Linked DNA regions of Anolis sagrei. The protein of the gene in region 1 interacts with the protein of each later gene in a pairwise test. Links are inferred from orthologs where the notes say so. Each region holds a gene or a part of one and is shown on either strand. Other genes may lie near its edges.

The links. The genes of interacting proteins can lie anywhere in the genome.
Region 2: the proteins of YWHAB (region 1) and BAD interact in binary tests that used the Homo sapiens proteins (3 or more experiments, as listed by UniProt). The link is inferred for Anolis sagrei from reciprocal best matches to the Homo sapiens genes YWHAB and BAD.

Annotation. Positions count from the first base shown.
Region 1 is NC_090024.1:217,747,847-217,756,626, forward strand, and holds the start of YWHAB (14-3-3 protein beta/alpha), read right to left. Parts: upstream 3,928-8,780; 5' UTR 3,780-3,927; intron 1-3,779. UniProt on the Homo sapiens protein: Adapter protein implicated in the regulation of a large spectrum of both general and specialized signaling pathways. Binds to a large number of partners, usually by recognition of a phosphoserine or phosphothreonine motif.
Region 2 is NC_090032.1:16,529,241-16,537,397, forward strand, and holds the start of BAD (bcl2-associated agonist of cell death), read right to left. Parts: upstream 4,024-8,157; 5' UTR 3,911-4,023; intron 293-3,910; 5' UTR 221-292; coding exon 82-220; intron 1-81. Other genes in the region: integral membrane protein GPR137, read left to right, coding at 6,318-6,716. UniProt on the Homo sapiens protein: Promotes cell death. Successfully competes for the binding to Bcl-X(L), Bcl-2 and Bcl-W, thereby affecting the level of heterodimerization of these proteins with BAX. Can reverse the death repressor activity of Bcl-X(L), but not that of Bcl-2.

The sequences.
Region 1 (8,780 bases):
ATGGCTCTTTGTCAGGAGGGCTCTGATTACATTTTCTTGCCCTGGTGAAGAGAGTTGGACTGGATGGCCTTAAGTATTTTCTGTTGGTCATGGGGGTTCTGTGTGGGAAATTTGCCCCAATTCTGTCGTTGGTGAGGTTCAGCATGCTCTCTGATGGTAGGTGAACTATAAATATCACTAACTACAACTCCCAAATGTCAAGGTCTATTTTCCCCAAACTCCATCTGGGTTCATATTTGGGCATATGGAATATTCGTGCCAAGTTCCCAAGGGCATCCGGGATGCCCCAACTCTGACAATTTTTAGGAGGAGCCTGAAAACGTGGTTGTTCCAGTGTGCCTTTCCAAAATAATTAATTTCTCAGCAATATGCCCTGAATGTGCACTGTATTATTGATTTAGGATTGATTGATCTGCACGCCCTAACCCCTCTGAAAATCTCCATCCCAGTTATATCCTACCTTGCTCATTTCCAGCATAATTTTTTTAATTTTAATTTTACATTTGGCCCAGCCAAGGGTTTTAAATGCTTGTTGTGTTACTGTACTGCTTATATTTTATTTTTGTTTATAAGATGTATTTTAACTGTTTTGTATTGTTTGTTTGCTATTGTTTTATTATTGATGTGTTGTGGTCTCGGCCTCATGTAAGCCGCACTGAGTCCCTTGGGGAGATGGTAGCGGGGTATAAATAAAGATGATTATTATTATTATTATTATTATTATTATTATAAGTTTGGTCCAGATCCATCATTGTTTGAGTCCACAGTGCTCTCTGTATGTAGGTGAACTACAACTCCCAAACTCAAGGTCAATGCTTACCAAACCCTTCTAGTGTTTTTTGTTGGTCATGGGAGTCCTGTGTACCACATTTGGTTCAATTCCAGAATTGGTGGGGTTCAGAATGCTCTTTGCTTGTATGTAAACTATAAATCCCAGCAACTGCAACTCCCAAATGACAAAATCAATTTTTGAATGATGGTCACTCCTTGGGTTAGTAGGTGTCTTGTGGCCAAATTTGGTGTCAATTCTCCCAGTGGTTTTGGAGCTATGTTAATCCCACAAACGAACATTACATTTTTATTTATATAGACTAGCTGTCCCCTGCCACACTACTGTGGCCCAGTCTGGTGATCTGGAAAATAAAGTAATGAGAAAGTGTTGGTTTCTAATATATGTAATTCCTTTATGCTTGTGAGTAAACAGTATTTCTTGTTGTTTCTTTGTCAGTGTTGATGTGGAGAGTGTCTGGTTTGCCTACTCTGGAATATGCAACATATCATAGTCATTCTTTAAGGGTCTCTTTCAAATCTATGATACTATCTCTCTCTCTCTCTCTCTGTGTGAGAATCATATCTATCTCTCTATATTTATGACTGGATGGCTCTTTGTCAGGAGGGCTCTGATTACATTTTCTTGCCCTGGTGAAGAGAGTTGGACTGGATGGCCTTAAGTATTTTCTGTTGGTCATGGGGGTTCTGTGTGGGAAGTTTGCCCCATTTCTCTCTGGATGTAGGTGAACTACAACTCCCAAACTCAAGGTCAATGCCCACCAAACCCTTAGTGTGTTCTGTTGGTCATGGAAGTCCTGTATGCCATGGTCATGGGTTTGTGCTAAGTTTGACCCAATTCCATCATTGGTGGAGTTCAGAATGCTCTTTGATTGTAGGTGAACTATAAATCCCAGCAACTACAACTCACAAATGACAAAATCAATTTTTTTTGAGTGAAGGACATACATTGGGTTGTTAGGTGTATTGTGTCCAAATTTGGTGTCAATTCCCCCAGTGGTTTTTGAGTTCTGTTAATCCCACAAACGAACATTACATTTTTATTTATATAGACTAGCTGTACCCGCCATGAGTTGCTGTGGCCAACCTTCCCTCTTTCTCTCTTTCCTTCACTCCCTCTTTCCTTCCTTCCTTCCTGTCTTTCCTTCTCTACCTCGTTCCTTCCTTCCCCCTTTTTCTTTCCCTCCCTCTTTCTCTCCTTTATTCCTTCTCTACTTCTTTCCTTCCTTATCCCTTTACTTCTTTCTCTCCCTCCCCCCTTTCTTTTCTTTCTCTTTTCTCCCCTTCCCTCCCTCTTTCTTTCCTTTTTTCTGTATTGTCGTTTAGCTTTTTGTCATTTAGCTCTTTGGGGCTTTTTCAGTCCCTTCTGCTGTGTTTTTATGAGTCAAAGACATACATTGGGTTGTTGGGTCTCTTGTGGCCAAATCTGGTGTCAATTCCCCCAGTGGTTTTTGAGTTCTGCTGTGTTTTTCAGTGTTTATATGAGTGAAGGACATACATTGGGTTGTTAGGTGTCTTGTGGCCAAATCTGGTGTCAATACGTCCAGTGGTTTTTGAGTTGTGTTAATCCCATAAATGAACATTACATTTGTATTTATATAGATTATATATCACATATAATATTACTAACATGTTATTATTTTTGATGTAGTTGTGAATTTGTTTTTGGCCCGTTGGCATGTGGGGGGGGGGGGGGGGAGATTGTTTTTGTCTTTGTTCAGCTTCCCACAGCATTGAATATTTGCTGATGCCTGTTGTTAACCGCCCTGAATCCCCTCGGGGAGATAGGGCGGGTTATAAATAAAGTAATCTTATTGTTGAGCCAGGGCAACGAACATTACTCATTTATTTATATAGATTATTATATATCACATATAATATTACTAATGTGTTATTATTTTTGATGTAGGTTCTTGTGGGTTTTTTCCAAGGCTATAGGGCCATTTATATAGATTATTATATATTACATATAATATTACTAATGTGTTATTATTTTTGATGTAGGTTCTTGTGGGTTTTTTTCGGGCTATAGGGCCATGTTCTAGAGGCATTTCTCCTGACGTTTCGCCTGCATCTATGGCAAGCATCCTCAGAGGTAGTGAGGTCTGTTGGAATTAGGACAATGGGTTTATATATCTGTGGAATGGCTGGGGTGGGGCAAAGAGCTCTTCCCTGCTGCAGTTAGGTGTGAATGTTTCAACTGACCACCTTCATTAGCATTTGAAGGCCTGGCTGAGCCTGGGAAAATCTTTTGTTGAGAGGTGTTAAGATGTGCCTGGTTGTTTCCTCTCTGCCATGAAAGCCTTCGACAATACATTTTTGATGTAGTTGTGGATTTGTTTTTGGGATGTGAGGGGGGGAGGTTGTTTTTGTCTTTGTTCAGCTTCTCACGGAATTGAATATTGGCTGATGCCTGTTGTTAACCGCCCTGAGTCCCCTCGGGGAGATAGGACGGGTTATACATAAAGTATTCTTATTGTTGAGCCAGGGCCAGGCTGTGTCCATTGGATGGTGCAGATCATGCCCCCTCAGGTAGGGAGCGAAGAAAGGGCCTTTCTCTTCTTCTTCTTCTTCTTCTTCTTTCTCGGCCTGAAGCAGCGCGTGGCCTGAAGGGCTCGGTTTCCTTCCTTCCTTCCTCCCCTCCTCCTCCTCCGCCTCCTCCTCCCAGGTGAGCGCCCGGCCCTGGGCGGAAGAAGGTGACTCACCCAGAGGCAGGGCGGGGCCGCTTCCAGGCTGGCATCCAAGGCGAGGACGGAGAGCGGGAGCGAGAGAGGGAAGAAGGAAGGAAGGAAGGAGGCCAAGCCGGGAAACACCTCGCGACAAAGGCGGTGCCGCCGGCTTAGGCCCGTTAGGCGAGCGCCTTCAGAGCAACGAGAAAAGCAAGGCCTTCCCCAGAAGCCCACAGAAGAGGAGGAGGAGGGAGGGAAGGAGGGGAAGGCAAGCAATCGGCGGAAGGGCCGGGCCTGGCCTGGGAGAGGCCTCTCACTCACCTCAGGCGGGTCCCGGTAAGGCAGAGAGGCGAGTGAAGACGACTCCGGCTTCCCAACCGTGGCTCCTCCAGCACATATACACACCCTGCGGCTCCTGCAGGCAGGCACTTCCGGCGGGTGAGGACACGCCCTTTCCGGCAAGGACACGCCCCTCCTCCGGCTCTCCCTCCCTCCGCTTCTCCCATTGGACCAGCCGGGCCGCGGAGAGGCGGGAGAGGATGCCGCGCGGTAGCCATGGCAACAGGGCACGATGGTTTCGTCCTTCGCAGGGGGAGGAGTTGAAACAAAGACCAATCTTTTCAACACCCCCCCTCTCGTTCCTCCCACGTTGAGTCTACTTATTAGGCCTCACACCTATTCTTGGTTTAGCCCAGCCCTGTTTTTAATACGATCTGAATCAAAGAAAATGAAGGAATTCAACCCTTTTATACGAATGGTATGTTCCGTCTTGACTAGATCTGGCTGTAGGTTTGGTTGCAGCCATACCAGTGTTCTTCCCCATGCTTTGTGCTTAGAATCACAGAGTTGGAAGAGACCTCATGGGCCATCCAGTCCAACCCCCTGCCTAGAAGCAGGAATACTGCATTCAAAGCACCCCTGACAGATGGCCATCCAGCCTCTGTTTACAAAGATATGACTGACCCTTGGCCAAACTGGCTGTGGCTTTCAGACAGGCCCTATATCCAGGATCTGTTTATCTCAAAGCCCTTAGAATCATAGAATCAAAGAGTTGGAAGACACCTCATGGGCCATCCAGTCCAACCCCCTGCCTAGAAGCAGGAATATTGCATTCAAAGCACCCCTGACAGATGGCCATCCAGCCTCTGTTTACAAAGATATGACTGACCCTCGGCCAAACTGGCTGTGGCTTTCAGACAGGCCCTATATCCAGGATCTGTTTATCTCAAGGCCCTTAGAATCATAGAATCAAAGAGTTGGAAGAGACCTCATGGGCCATCCAGTCCAACCCCCTGCCTAGAAGCAGGAATATTGCATTCAAAACACCCCTGACAAATGGCCATCCAGCCTCTGTTTACAAAGATATGACTGACCCTTGGCCAAACTGGCAGTGGCTTCCAGACAGGCCCTATATCCAGGATCTGTTGACCACATTCCTGTGTACTAACCCACACGATCTCTTCGATCATCTGGATAGGCCCTACTCATGCTCCCACCTGCATCGCAAGCATGATTGGTGGGGACGAGAGAAGGCCTTCTCGGTGGTGGCCCCTCGTCTCTGGAACTCACTTCCTAAGGGCATCAGGCATACCCCAACTTTGGCAGGCTTTAGGAGGAGCTTGAAAACGTGGTTGTTCCAGTGTGCCTTCCCAGAATAATGAACCCTTAGCATTATGTCCTCTAAAAGCACTTTATACTAATTTAGGCTTGCTTGTATGTTTTCACCAACGCCCTACCTCCTCTATCTTGTTTATGCCCAGCATTATTTTTTTAACTTTAATTACATTTGGCCCAGCCATAGATTTTAAATGTGTTTTGTGCTATTGTTCAATGTTTGTGCTATTTATGTGTGAGTTTTATTTTTAATTGCTTTGTTTTAGTATTTGTATTTTGCTTTGTACTGTGGTTGTTATTGCATGTATTGATGTATTCTGGGCTCGGCCTCATGTAAGCCGCACCGAGTCCCTTGGGAGATGGTAGCGGGGTATAAATAAGTTTTATTATTATATTATTATTATTTATTATTATCTCAGAGCCCTTCCACACAGCCATTAAATCCAGAATATCAAGGCAAAAAAAAAAAACCCCCACAGTATCTGCTTTGAACTGGGTTATCTGAGTCCACACTGCCATATGGTCCAGTTCAAAGCAGAAAATAATAAATAATTAAATAAAGCAGAAAATGTGGGATTTTATTCAGCTGTGTGGAAGGGGTCCCAGATTATCTGACAGTTGGGACTCATATAATCCAGTTCAAAGCAGAGATCCTGGGATATAGAGCCTGTCTGGAAATGCCCTGGGAGTTAGAAGTACTCGAAATAGTCAAAGAATGGGGTTGATTGATCCACACTGTTGAAATAATGCTGTTTAATCCCACTTTAACTGCTATGGTTTAATACTCCCTTTATCACAGGCAAGACTTGTGGGAATGAGGGAGAAAGCCTTCTCCGCTGTGGCTCCCCGTCTTTAGCACTCACTACCTGGTGAGATTAGGCAAGCCACCTCCTTAGCAGACTTCAAGAAAAACTTGAAAACCTGGTTTTTCTGATGTGCCTTCGGAGAGTGACCATTTATTCCACTTCTCTTTGCCCCATTTATAGTGTTGCCCCTATGTTGCATTTTCCTCTGCCCTAGACTGAAAGCCTTACCCCACTGTTTTATCCTTACTGGGCTCCCCTTACTTACACATTTTCTATTCCTACCTCACCCAGGGTTTTTATTATATTATCATTTTATCTTGTCTATCTGGCCTGCACTTCCAATTTGACTTTTATATGGTGTTAATTTGCTCTATTGTTTTATGTTGCTACTGTACTAATTAGTTTCTGATGTAAGTTTTTGTTTTTGCATTCTGTATTTTATTGTGTTGTATTGTATTTTTTGAGATTGGCCTCATGTCAGCCGCCCCAAGTCCCCATTGGGGAGATGGTGGCAGGGTATAAATAAAGGTTGTTGTTGTTGTTGTTGTTGTTGTTGTTGTTATTTATTATTACTATAGAGTCGAAGTAGTTGCACCAGCTCTCTTTGGCAGAGAAGGCTAAAAAAAACTTGTAAAATTACAACAGCCTTGATTTCATAGCTGGTAGTCACGGCAGTTAAAGTGTGTCAAATTGCATTAATTCTACAGTGTAGAACAGGCATGGGCAAATTTCAGCCCTCCAGGTGTTTTGGACTTCAACACTCCTAAAGAAAAGTGAAATGTAAAAGAGAAAATGGTGACAAATCTGAAAGCATTCGTTGATCTGTTCATTTGAAATACCATTATTGTTCATTTTGTGAACCTTATGTCTTCTCTGTTTTTTCTAACTGTAGGAAATGCTGATGTAGAGACAATTATAGTATGTTATTTCAAAAATGCTTTTTACTTTGTCATAATACCTTGCAGTGCCATTGAATGCACTTATGCGTTATGTATCATACTTGTTTAGACATGCCTTTAATCTGGTAGTTGAGAGTGGCTTGTAATATCAAGCAGACATTTACAATGCAGCATTCCAGGCCCAAACCAAAACAAGGTGGAGGTGTGTGTGTGTTCATGCATATATTCACATGTGATGAAGCTCTGGAACATCAACACTGAAAGTGGTAAAGAACCTCTGCCTTGCTGAGCCATAATGATAAATCTGAACTGCATTTGCTTCTGCTGAATTAAATCAAGCAGAAGAATGGATCCTTTTTCAAAACGATTATGGTTCAAACAGGTTGGTGGGCAATTTCTGAAGCAGATAAATAACAGAGACAAATGATGTGCTCATTCTGGAGAACGGTTCAGTGTTAAAGTATACGCTTTCAATTTTGGACCTCTGGGTAGGTTTACAAAACAGTCTTGTCTGAAATTGTAGAAAACTGCTTATATTTGTTCATGCTTTGTTAAATGACCCAATAGTTTGACTCTGTATCATGTTCCTATGTTCTAGATGACTCATCAAGGTCTAGAGCAATTAGACACAGAAGGAAGCAAATGAATCTCTCCAGCAGCTTCTCCAAGGACATAGTGCTCAAAGTAATTTATTCCAAGCTAGAAAAGTTTGCATTTGGTGTCAAGGTGACCTTGATGATGATGATGATGATAATGAAAACTTTATTTATATACTGCTCTATCTCCCCAAGGGGGGACTCAGGGGGACTTCCAAATAACATCACCGAAACATACAAGTAATCAGCATAACATAAAATTAACAAAACAACATAAGCATAAAATTATCACAATAACACGTGTATATTAAAAATAATCCTACCTGTTTAGCAATTAAAAAGCTGGGCCAAGGCTAGTGCTGGGAATTAAGTATAACAGGCCAACAGCGATAGTAGGTACGGGTCTGTGGCTGCTCATTTCCAGGGCCTATTAGAGGGATGACCGGGGTAATAGGTAAGAAGTGCAAGGCCATATTTCACAATGTTTGGGGCTGGACTGGAACTGGTCATTCTCAAAGGCTTGTTGAAACCACCAGGTCTTCAAGCTCTTACACAAGGAGGGGAGGGATGGGGCCTGTCTTATTTACCTTGGAAGGGCATTCCAGAGGCGGGGGAGCACTACTGAGAAGGCCCTCCATCTCGTCCCCACCAACTGTATTTGTGACAGTGGTGGGAGCAAAAGGAGGGCCTCCGCAGAAGATTAGTTCCTTCAGTCACCTCATTCCCTCTATGCTGACCGTGGTGGTTTGGAGCAGTCCGGCTAACCAGTCTCTCCACTAGTCTCTCTAATGGTACGCCTGCAACCTGCTGCCAGATCTCCCAGATCAAATCTTTTGTCACCTGCAGAAAACATGCTGTATATTTAACATACTCTTGCACAGTGTGGCATTTATTTACTTATTTACTTTATTTATCCCCTGCCTTTCTCCCCAAGGAAACTCAAGGTGGTTAACAACCACACACTCAATTTAAAACAAAGCAAATACAAAAATTAAAAATCAACTAAACAGTACTGTGTGTTTTAGGTTAAAAATACAATTAAATGCAATAAATACAATTAAAATGCATCCAAAACACACAGACAAATCCCACCCCCACTCCCACATCCTCCCCTGCAACTTGCCTCTTATCCTTCCCCAAGTACCTGCTGACAGAGAAAAGTTTTGGCCTGCTTGTGGAAGAAGCAATTTGTGCTAGATTCTTGTATGACTCTTGCACAACATATCTGTTGTTAGTCAGGAGCAAAAATCAGGGTTTGCTGCATCAGCAAATTTGATTCACCTTTGCTATTAGTGGAATTGTATGGAAAGTAAGGCGTAGGTGTGCCCTCCAGGCAGCTCATTGTTGGGTTTGTGTACCCAACCCAAAGCATCCAAGTGTGGGAGTCTATGATATCAACTGCAAAGT
Region 2 (8,157 bases), on another chromosome or scaffold:
TAGATTTACAGTATTTGTGTACTGCTTTTCTCACCCCGAGGGGGACTCAAAGCGGTTTAAGTATTGTTGTTGGAGCCCTACCTGGATTCTCAGCGCTGTTTGGGCTGCCTGGGCCTTTGGCCTCTCCTGAGGATCCCCGCCAGGTCAGCTTAGGATCCCGCGGCTCCTTCTCGGCAGTCGGGAAAGCGTCGTCGTCATGGTACTCCGCAATCTGGAACATGGTCAGGGGGCTCTCATGGCCCCCGTCCCGCGACCCGCCGCTCTCCAGGGGGAAGCAGGGCAGCGAGCTTGTCTGCAGAGGAAGGAGGAAGAAGGTCAAAACAAGAGTGGAAATAGTGACTAAGGGCTCATCTGCAAACCAGGAAGTCCATGATTCAGGTCTCGCTCCGGTTACTAACATGTCGGGACAGGAATTGCCTCTCAGGCGTCGAGAATACTTTTTGAGCGGAAAGGTACAAAATTAAATGAGCTAGAAATATTTCGTATATTTTGTTATGATTTTCCCCCTTTGCGGTTTTGTGTTTAATTATGTTGTATTATTTTTGGGCTTGGCTTCATGTTAGCCACCCCAAGTCCCCTTTGGGGAGATGGTTGTAAATAAAGATTATTATTATTATTATTATTATTAATATAATTATTAATATAATAATTATTAATATAATAATTAATATATTAATATAATTATTAATATAATAATTATTAATATAATAATTAATATATTAATATAATTATAAATATAATAATTACTAATATAATAATTAATATATTAATATATATTAATATAATAATTATTAATATAATTATTAATATAATTAATTAATATAATTAATATAATTATTATTATTAATATTAATATATAATGGACTGGTTGCTCTGACACGACAAATAAATAAATAAATAAAAATAAATTATTATTGAGCTGGTTTTATTTTTTTATTTCATGTCAAAAGCATAGCATACATAAGTATAAAACGGATAAAATACAATATAATAATATATAATAAAATTATATAACAATAATAATTAACATATTAATATATATATTAATATAATAATTATTAATATAATTATTAATATAATTAATTAATATAATTATTATTATTAATATTAATATATAATGGACTGGTTGCTCTGACACGACAAATAAATAAATAAATAAATAAAAATTATTATTGAGCTGGTTTTATTTTTTTTATTTCATGTCAAAAGCATAGCATACATAAGTATAAAACGGATAAAATACAATATAATAATATATAATAAAATACAATATAATATAATAAAAAGATTGTAATATAGTAATACTAAGGTTTATATACCTGTGGAATCATGTCCAAGGTGGGAGAAAGAACTCTTATCTGTTGGAGGTAGGTGTGAATGTTTCAATTGGCCACCTTGATTGGCATTGAATGGCCTTGTAGCTTCAAAGCCTGCATGGGGGAATCCTTTGTTGGGAGGTGTTAGCTGGCACTTGGAAACTGGGAAAGTGGGGTTTATAATGTCCAGGGTTGGAGAAAGAACTCTTGTCTGTTGGAGGTTGGTGTGAATGTTTCAATTGGCCACCTTGATTAGCACTGAAAGCTTGCCTGGGGGAATCCTTTGTTGGGAGGTGTTAGCTGGCACTTGGGAAATAGGCAAGTGGGGTTTATAATGTCCAGGGTTGGAGAAAGAACTCTTGTCTGTTGGAGGTTGGTGTGAATGTTTCAATTGGCCACCTTGACTTGCACTGAATGGCCTTGCAGCTTCAAAGCCTGCCTGGGGGAATCCTTTGTTGGGAGGTGTTAGGCAAGTGGGGTTTATAAGATCCAGGGTGGGAGAAAGAACTCTGGTCTGTTGGAGGTTGGTGTGAATGTTTCAATTGGACACCTTGATTAGCATTGAATGGCCTTGCAGCTTCAAAGCCTGCCTGGGGGAATCCTTTGTTGGGAGGTGTTAGGCAAGTGGGGTTTATAATGTCCAGGGTTGGAGAAAGAACTCTTGTCTGTTGGAGGTAGGCGTGAATGTTTCAGTTGGCCACCTTGATCAGCATTGAATGGCCTAGCAGTTTCAAGGTGTGGCTTCTTACTGCCTGGGGGAATCCTTTGTTGGGAGGTGTTAGCTGGCATTTGGAAACTAGGCAAATAGGGTTTATAATGTCCAGGTTGGGAGAAAGAACTCTTGTCTGTTGGAGTTAGGCCACCTTGATTAGCACTGAATGGCCTTGCAGCTTCAAAGGCCGCCTGGGGGAATCATTTGTTGGGAGGTGTTAGGCAAGTGGGGTTTATAATGTCCAGGGTGGGCGAAAGAACTCTTGTCTGTTGGAGGTTGGTGTGAGTGTTTCAATTAGCCACCTTGATTAGCATTGAATGGCCTTGCAGCTTCAAAGCCTGCCTGGGGGAATCCTTTGTTGGGAGGTGTTAGGAGCGTGGGGTTTATAATGTCCAGGGTGGGAGAAAGAACTCTTGTCTGTTGGAGGTAGGCGTGAATGTTTCAGTTGGCCACCTTGATTAGCACTCAATGGCCTTGCAGCTTCAAAGCCTGCCTGGGGGAATCCTTTGTTGGGAGGTGTTAAATGGCACTTGGAAACTGGGAAAGTGGGGTTTATAATGTCCAGGGTGGGAGAAAGAACTCGTCTGTTGGAGGTTGATGTGAATGTTTCAATTGGCCACCTTGATTAGCATTGAATGGCCTTGCAGCTTCAAAGCCTGCCTGGGGGAATCCTTTGTTGGGAGGTGTTATCTGGCACTTGGAAACTAGACAAGTGGGGTTTATAATGTCCAGGGTGGGAGAAAGAACTCTTGTCTGTTGGGAGATAGGTGTGAATATTTCAATTGGCCACCTTGATTAGCACTGAAAGCTTGCCTGGGGGAATCCTTTTTTGGGAGGTGTTAGCTGGCACTTGGAAACTAGGCACGTGGGGTTTATATTCCTGTGGAATAATATCCTGGGTGGGAGAAAGAACTCTTGTCTATTGGAGGTAGGTGTGAATGTTTCAATTGGCCAGCTTGATTAGCATTGAATGGCCTTGCAGCTTCAAAGCCTGCCTGGGGGAATCCTTTGTTGGGAGGTGTAAGCTGGCACATGGAAACTAAGCAAGTGGGGTTTATATACCTGTGGAGTAATGTCCAGGTTGGGAGAAAGAACTCTTGTCTGTTGGAGGTTAGTGTGAGTGTTTCAATTGGCTACCTTGATTAGCATTGAAAGCTTGCCTGGGGGAATCCTTTGTTGGGAGGTGTTAGGCAAGTGGGGTTGATAATGTCCAGGGTGGGAGAAAGAACTCTTGTCTGTTGGAGGTTGGTGTGAATATTTCAATTGGACACCTTGATTAGCACTGAAAGCTTGCCTGGGGGAATCCTTTGTTGGGAGGTGTTAGCTGGCACTTGGAAACTGGGAAAGTGGGGTTTATAATGTCCAGGGTGGGAGAAAGAACTCTTGTCTGTTGGAGGTAGGCGTGAATGTTTCAGTTGGCCACCTTGATTAGCATTTAATGGCCTAGCAGTTTCAAGGTGTGGCTTCTTACAGCCTGGGGGAATCCTTTGTTGGGAGATGATTACCTGTCCCTAATTGTTTCAAAGTCTTCTGCTTGTGTTGTTAGGCCTAGCTCATCAGCATATATAGAGCTGGGTAGTGGGCCATCCAGTCCAACCCCATTCTGCCATAGGAAGACACCATCAAAGCCCTCCCAACAGATAGCCAGTCAGACTCTGCTTCAAAACCTCCCTCACAGTGATGGGAGAGTGTGCTTCCCATGCCATCCCAGCCTGGGCTTCCTTTCTGACTGATCAGAGGCATTTCCTGGTGCAGCCATTGTTGATGTCCTGCTCCTTCCTCCCTTCCAGGCTCCAAATCCATCTATTCCAGCATATTATTATGATTAGAGCCAAGATCTAATGATAATCCTGCCTCCCTCCCAGGCCCCGATCCTCCTTACCTCAAGCAAAGCTGCCTCACTCTCTCGACACGGCTCGTGTTTACAGCCTGGCTCTTCCCTGCCACTGTCGCCCGGGCGATGGAGGACTGCCACTCCCTGCGTCCAATCACATCTCTCGACGTCACGGCTAAGGGGCGGGGACTCCCGCTGCAAGGCAGGCCCCGCCCACCTTTGTAATTTTTTATTCCCGAAGCCCCGCCCCCGGCGTTTCCTATTGGCTACCTTCCGCGCCGGGGTGGCTTGCCATTGGCTGTTCCCGGAGCGCTCTGCCCGGGAACACAATCTGGGAGCACGTGACCTAAACCTGTGCAGCAAGCCATCCAGATCTAGGGATAGGTTTGCACTGTAGAATCAATGCTGTTCAAACTGCAGTAGATGGGCGTACACTGACCCTATGTAATACAATGTAATGCAACATAATGTATTATAAGGCACTGGCCACATATATATGTAGATACTCCAGACTGCACTATATGAGTGGCCCTATAATATATGTGTGTGTGTGTAGATACTCCATTCCAACCCCATATATATATATATATATATATATATATATATAGGGTTGGAATGGAGTATCTACATATATATATATATATATATATATATATATTATATATGTAGATACTCCAGACTGCATTATATGAGTGGCCCTATTATATATATATATATATGTATATGTATATGTGTATATGTATATGTATATGTATAAGTATATGTATATGCATATGTATATATATGGCCACTGAGCTCCATTATATGGATCTACATATATATTATATATGGTCAGTGCCATATATATATTATAGGGCCAGGGTAGATGCATATAATGTAGTCTGGAATGCACTGAGCTCCATTATATGGATCTACATATATATTATATAGGATATATGGTCAATATCATATATATATATATATATATATATATATATTATAGGGCTAGGGTGGACGCACTGAGCTCCATTATATGGATCTACATATATATTATACATGATATATGTCAATGTCATATATATATATATATTATAGGGCTAGGGTAGACGCACTGAGTTCCATTATATGGATCTACATATATATTATATATATAATATATCTGTAGATCCATATAATGGAACTCAGTGTATTCCAGATTGCATTATATGCATTTACCCTAGTCCTATAATATATATATATAATATATATATATATGGGTCATGGTATATATTATATATGGCCAGTACCATCCATATATATATATATATATATATATATATATATATATATATATATATATAGATGGTACTGGTCATATATAATATATATGGAGACTCATGTAATGGAGGCCAATGCAGTCCAGATTGCATTATATGGGTCTACCATGACCCTATATGTATATGTATGTGTGTTTATATATATATATATGGCACTGACTACACATAAGAGAGAGATCCATATAATGGAGCTTAATGTATTTCAGATTGCATTATATGGGCCCACCCTATAATATAATGTAATATAATGGATACTGGCCACATATTATATATATGGGGACCCCTATAGTGGCGTTCAATGTCTTCCAAGCTGCCTTATATAGGCCCACCATGCAAACAAGCAGGAGTAGGGTCAACCTACACCTTGCTAAATGAGCCATTTGGGCCACACTCAAGATGGCGCCCTATATCTTGCTCAAGGAGCCACACTCAAGATGGCGCCCGGAAAGAGCGGGGCCACTCTAAGGACAGCCTTGCGCACTCCGCTGCATTCACGACGCCGTTTACGCCCTTGACGTAACAAAGCGCCGCCTACTTAAAGGGGGCGGGCCTTACGCACTTGGCGCAGACCCGGGCAGGGAAGCAGGTGCTTTGGGAACCAGGCTGAGGCACAGGCAGAGGGGGGCTCCTAAATCTGGACCGGAAGTGGGGGAAAGGGGGACTCTTTACGAGCTGGGCTTCCGGCGGGGGAAGGAATAAGGGCTGTAGGTACCTGAGGGGAGGTGTTTGACAGGAAGTGGGCCCACTGAGGCTGCCATTGTGGCAAATGGAGGGGAAAGGACTCCAGTTGGGGTTGTAGATACCTGAAGGTTGAGAGGAAGCAGGTGTTTGACAGGAAGTGAGGCTGTGAAACACCTGGGGCAAGTGTCAAGCCTTGAGGGGAGCACCTTCTTTCTTGGGGGAGGTTCCCAAATTGAGGGCAGGTCTGAATTGAGGCCTAAGTGGAGTACCAGTCTTTTGGGAAGGGCTTCTTCTTCTTTCTCCTCCTAAAGTGAGGGCACCTCAAGGGCATCCTTCTCATGGAAGCGGCCTTCGGTTCCTCCGCTGAAGAAGGCTCTCTCGGCCCTAAGGATGTGACCCACTCTCCCGCTTGTTGGGGGGCAGCTCCGCCATCTTGAGAGCGTGGTGGTGCCGCCCCCCAGGCTTCTAACCACGTTGGGATGCCTCCTGAGATAATGGAGAAGGCCCTGGGCAACCTCAGTACGGTTGTGGTGCCCGCCTCTCGCCTCACACCGGCCTTCCCGCCAGCCGTGAAGGTGGGCTTGACGGCACTCTACACGGCCCTCTACGCCGCTCTCTTCCTCTCGGTCTACGCCCAGCTATGGCTGGTGCTCTTCTACCGGCACAAGAAGCTCAGCTACCAGACGGTCTTCCTCTTCCTCTGCCTGCTCTGGGCTGCCCTGCGCACCACCCTCTTCTCCTTCTACTTCCGCAACACCCTCAAGGCCAACCGCTTGAGCCCCTTCTTCTTCTGGCTCCTCTACTGCTGCCCCGTCTGCCTCCAGTTCTTCACCTTGACCCTCATGAACCTGTACTTTGCCCAGGTGAGTCAGGACAAGGTGAGTCGGCAGGCTCCTTTGGAACCCAGAAAACAACTTCTGCGTAATAATAATTTGTAGGTTCTTGTGGGGTTTTTCGAGCTATAGGGCCATGTTCTAGATGCATTTCTCCTGATGTTTCGCCTGCATCTATGGCAAGCATCCTCACTACCTCTGAGGATGCTTGCCATAGATGCAGGCGAAACGTCAGGAGAAATGCCTCTAGAACATGACCCTATAGCCCGAAAAAACCCACAAGAACCTAGTGATTCCAGCCATGAAAGCCTTCGACAATACATAATAATAATTTATTTTATTTGTCATGTCAGGACAACCAGTCATATTATATTACATTTCTAACAGAACAAAGCAAACAGACAGACAAAATACAAAATTTGTGAGTTTGGTAGTTGATTAAATGGCCACTTGGAGTGCTTCTGGTGTTGCTGCAAGAAGGTCCTCCATTGTGCATGTGGCAGGGCTCAGGTTGCATTGCAGCAGGTGGTCAGTGGTTTGCTCCTCTCCACACTCGCATGTCGAGGATTCCACTTTGTGGCCCCATTTCTGAAGGTTGGCTCTGCATCTCGTGGTGCCACAAAGTGGAATCCTCGACATGCGAGTGTGGAGAGGAGCAAACCACTGACCACCTGCTGCAATGCAACCTGAGCCCTGCCACATGCACAATGGAGGACCTTCTTGCAGCAACACCAGAAGCACTCCAAGTGGCTATTTAATCAACTACCAAACTCACAAATTTTGTATTTTGTCTGTCTGTCTGGTGCAGTCTGTTCAGCGCTTTCCAAGTCGCCCAGTCCTCTGTGTGCCCGGGGAGGGGGGGGGGTCTCATTTGGTATCAGCCATTGGTTGAGGTTCTGGGTTTGAGCCTGCCACTTTTGGACTCTCGCTTGCTGAGGTGTTCCAGCAAGTGCCTCTGTAAATCTTAGAAAACTATTTCTAGATTTAAGTCGTTGATGTGCTGGCTGATACCCAAACAGGGGATGAGCTGGAGATGTCTCTGCCTTGGTCCTTTCACTATTGTCTGCTACTTCCCGGTGGATGTCAGGTGGTGCAATACCGGCTAAGCAGTGTAATTTCTCCAGTGGTGTAGGATGTAGACACCACGTGATACACCCCCTGGGCACACAGAGGACTGGGCGACTTGGAAGGCGCTGAACAGACTGCGCTCTGGCACCATGAGATGCAGAGCCAACCTTCAGAAACGGAGCTACAAAGTGGAATCCACGACATGCAAATGTAGAGAGGAGCAAACCACTGACCACCTGCCAGCACAGTGATCTTTTTTTGCTGTGTACCAATTTTGTTGTGTATCCAATAAAAATAATGATTTATTATTAACTATTAAATTATTTGTTACTATTATTATTATCATAATCATCATCTCAGGCCCTCCTCTCTCACACCATCCTATCCTTCCTTCCTTGTCTCTTTCCTTCCTCATTCC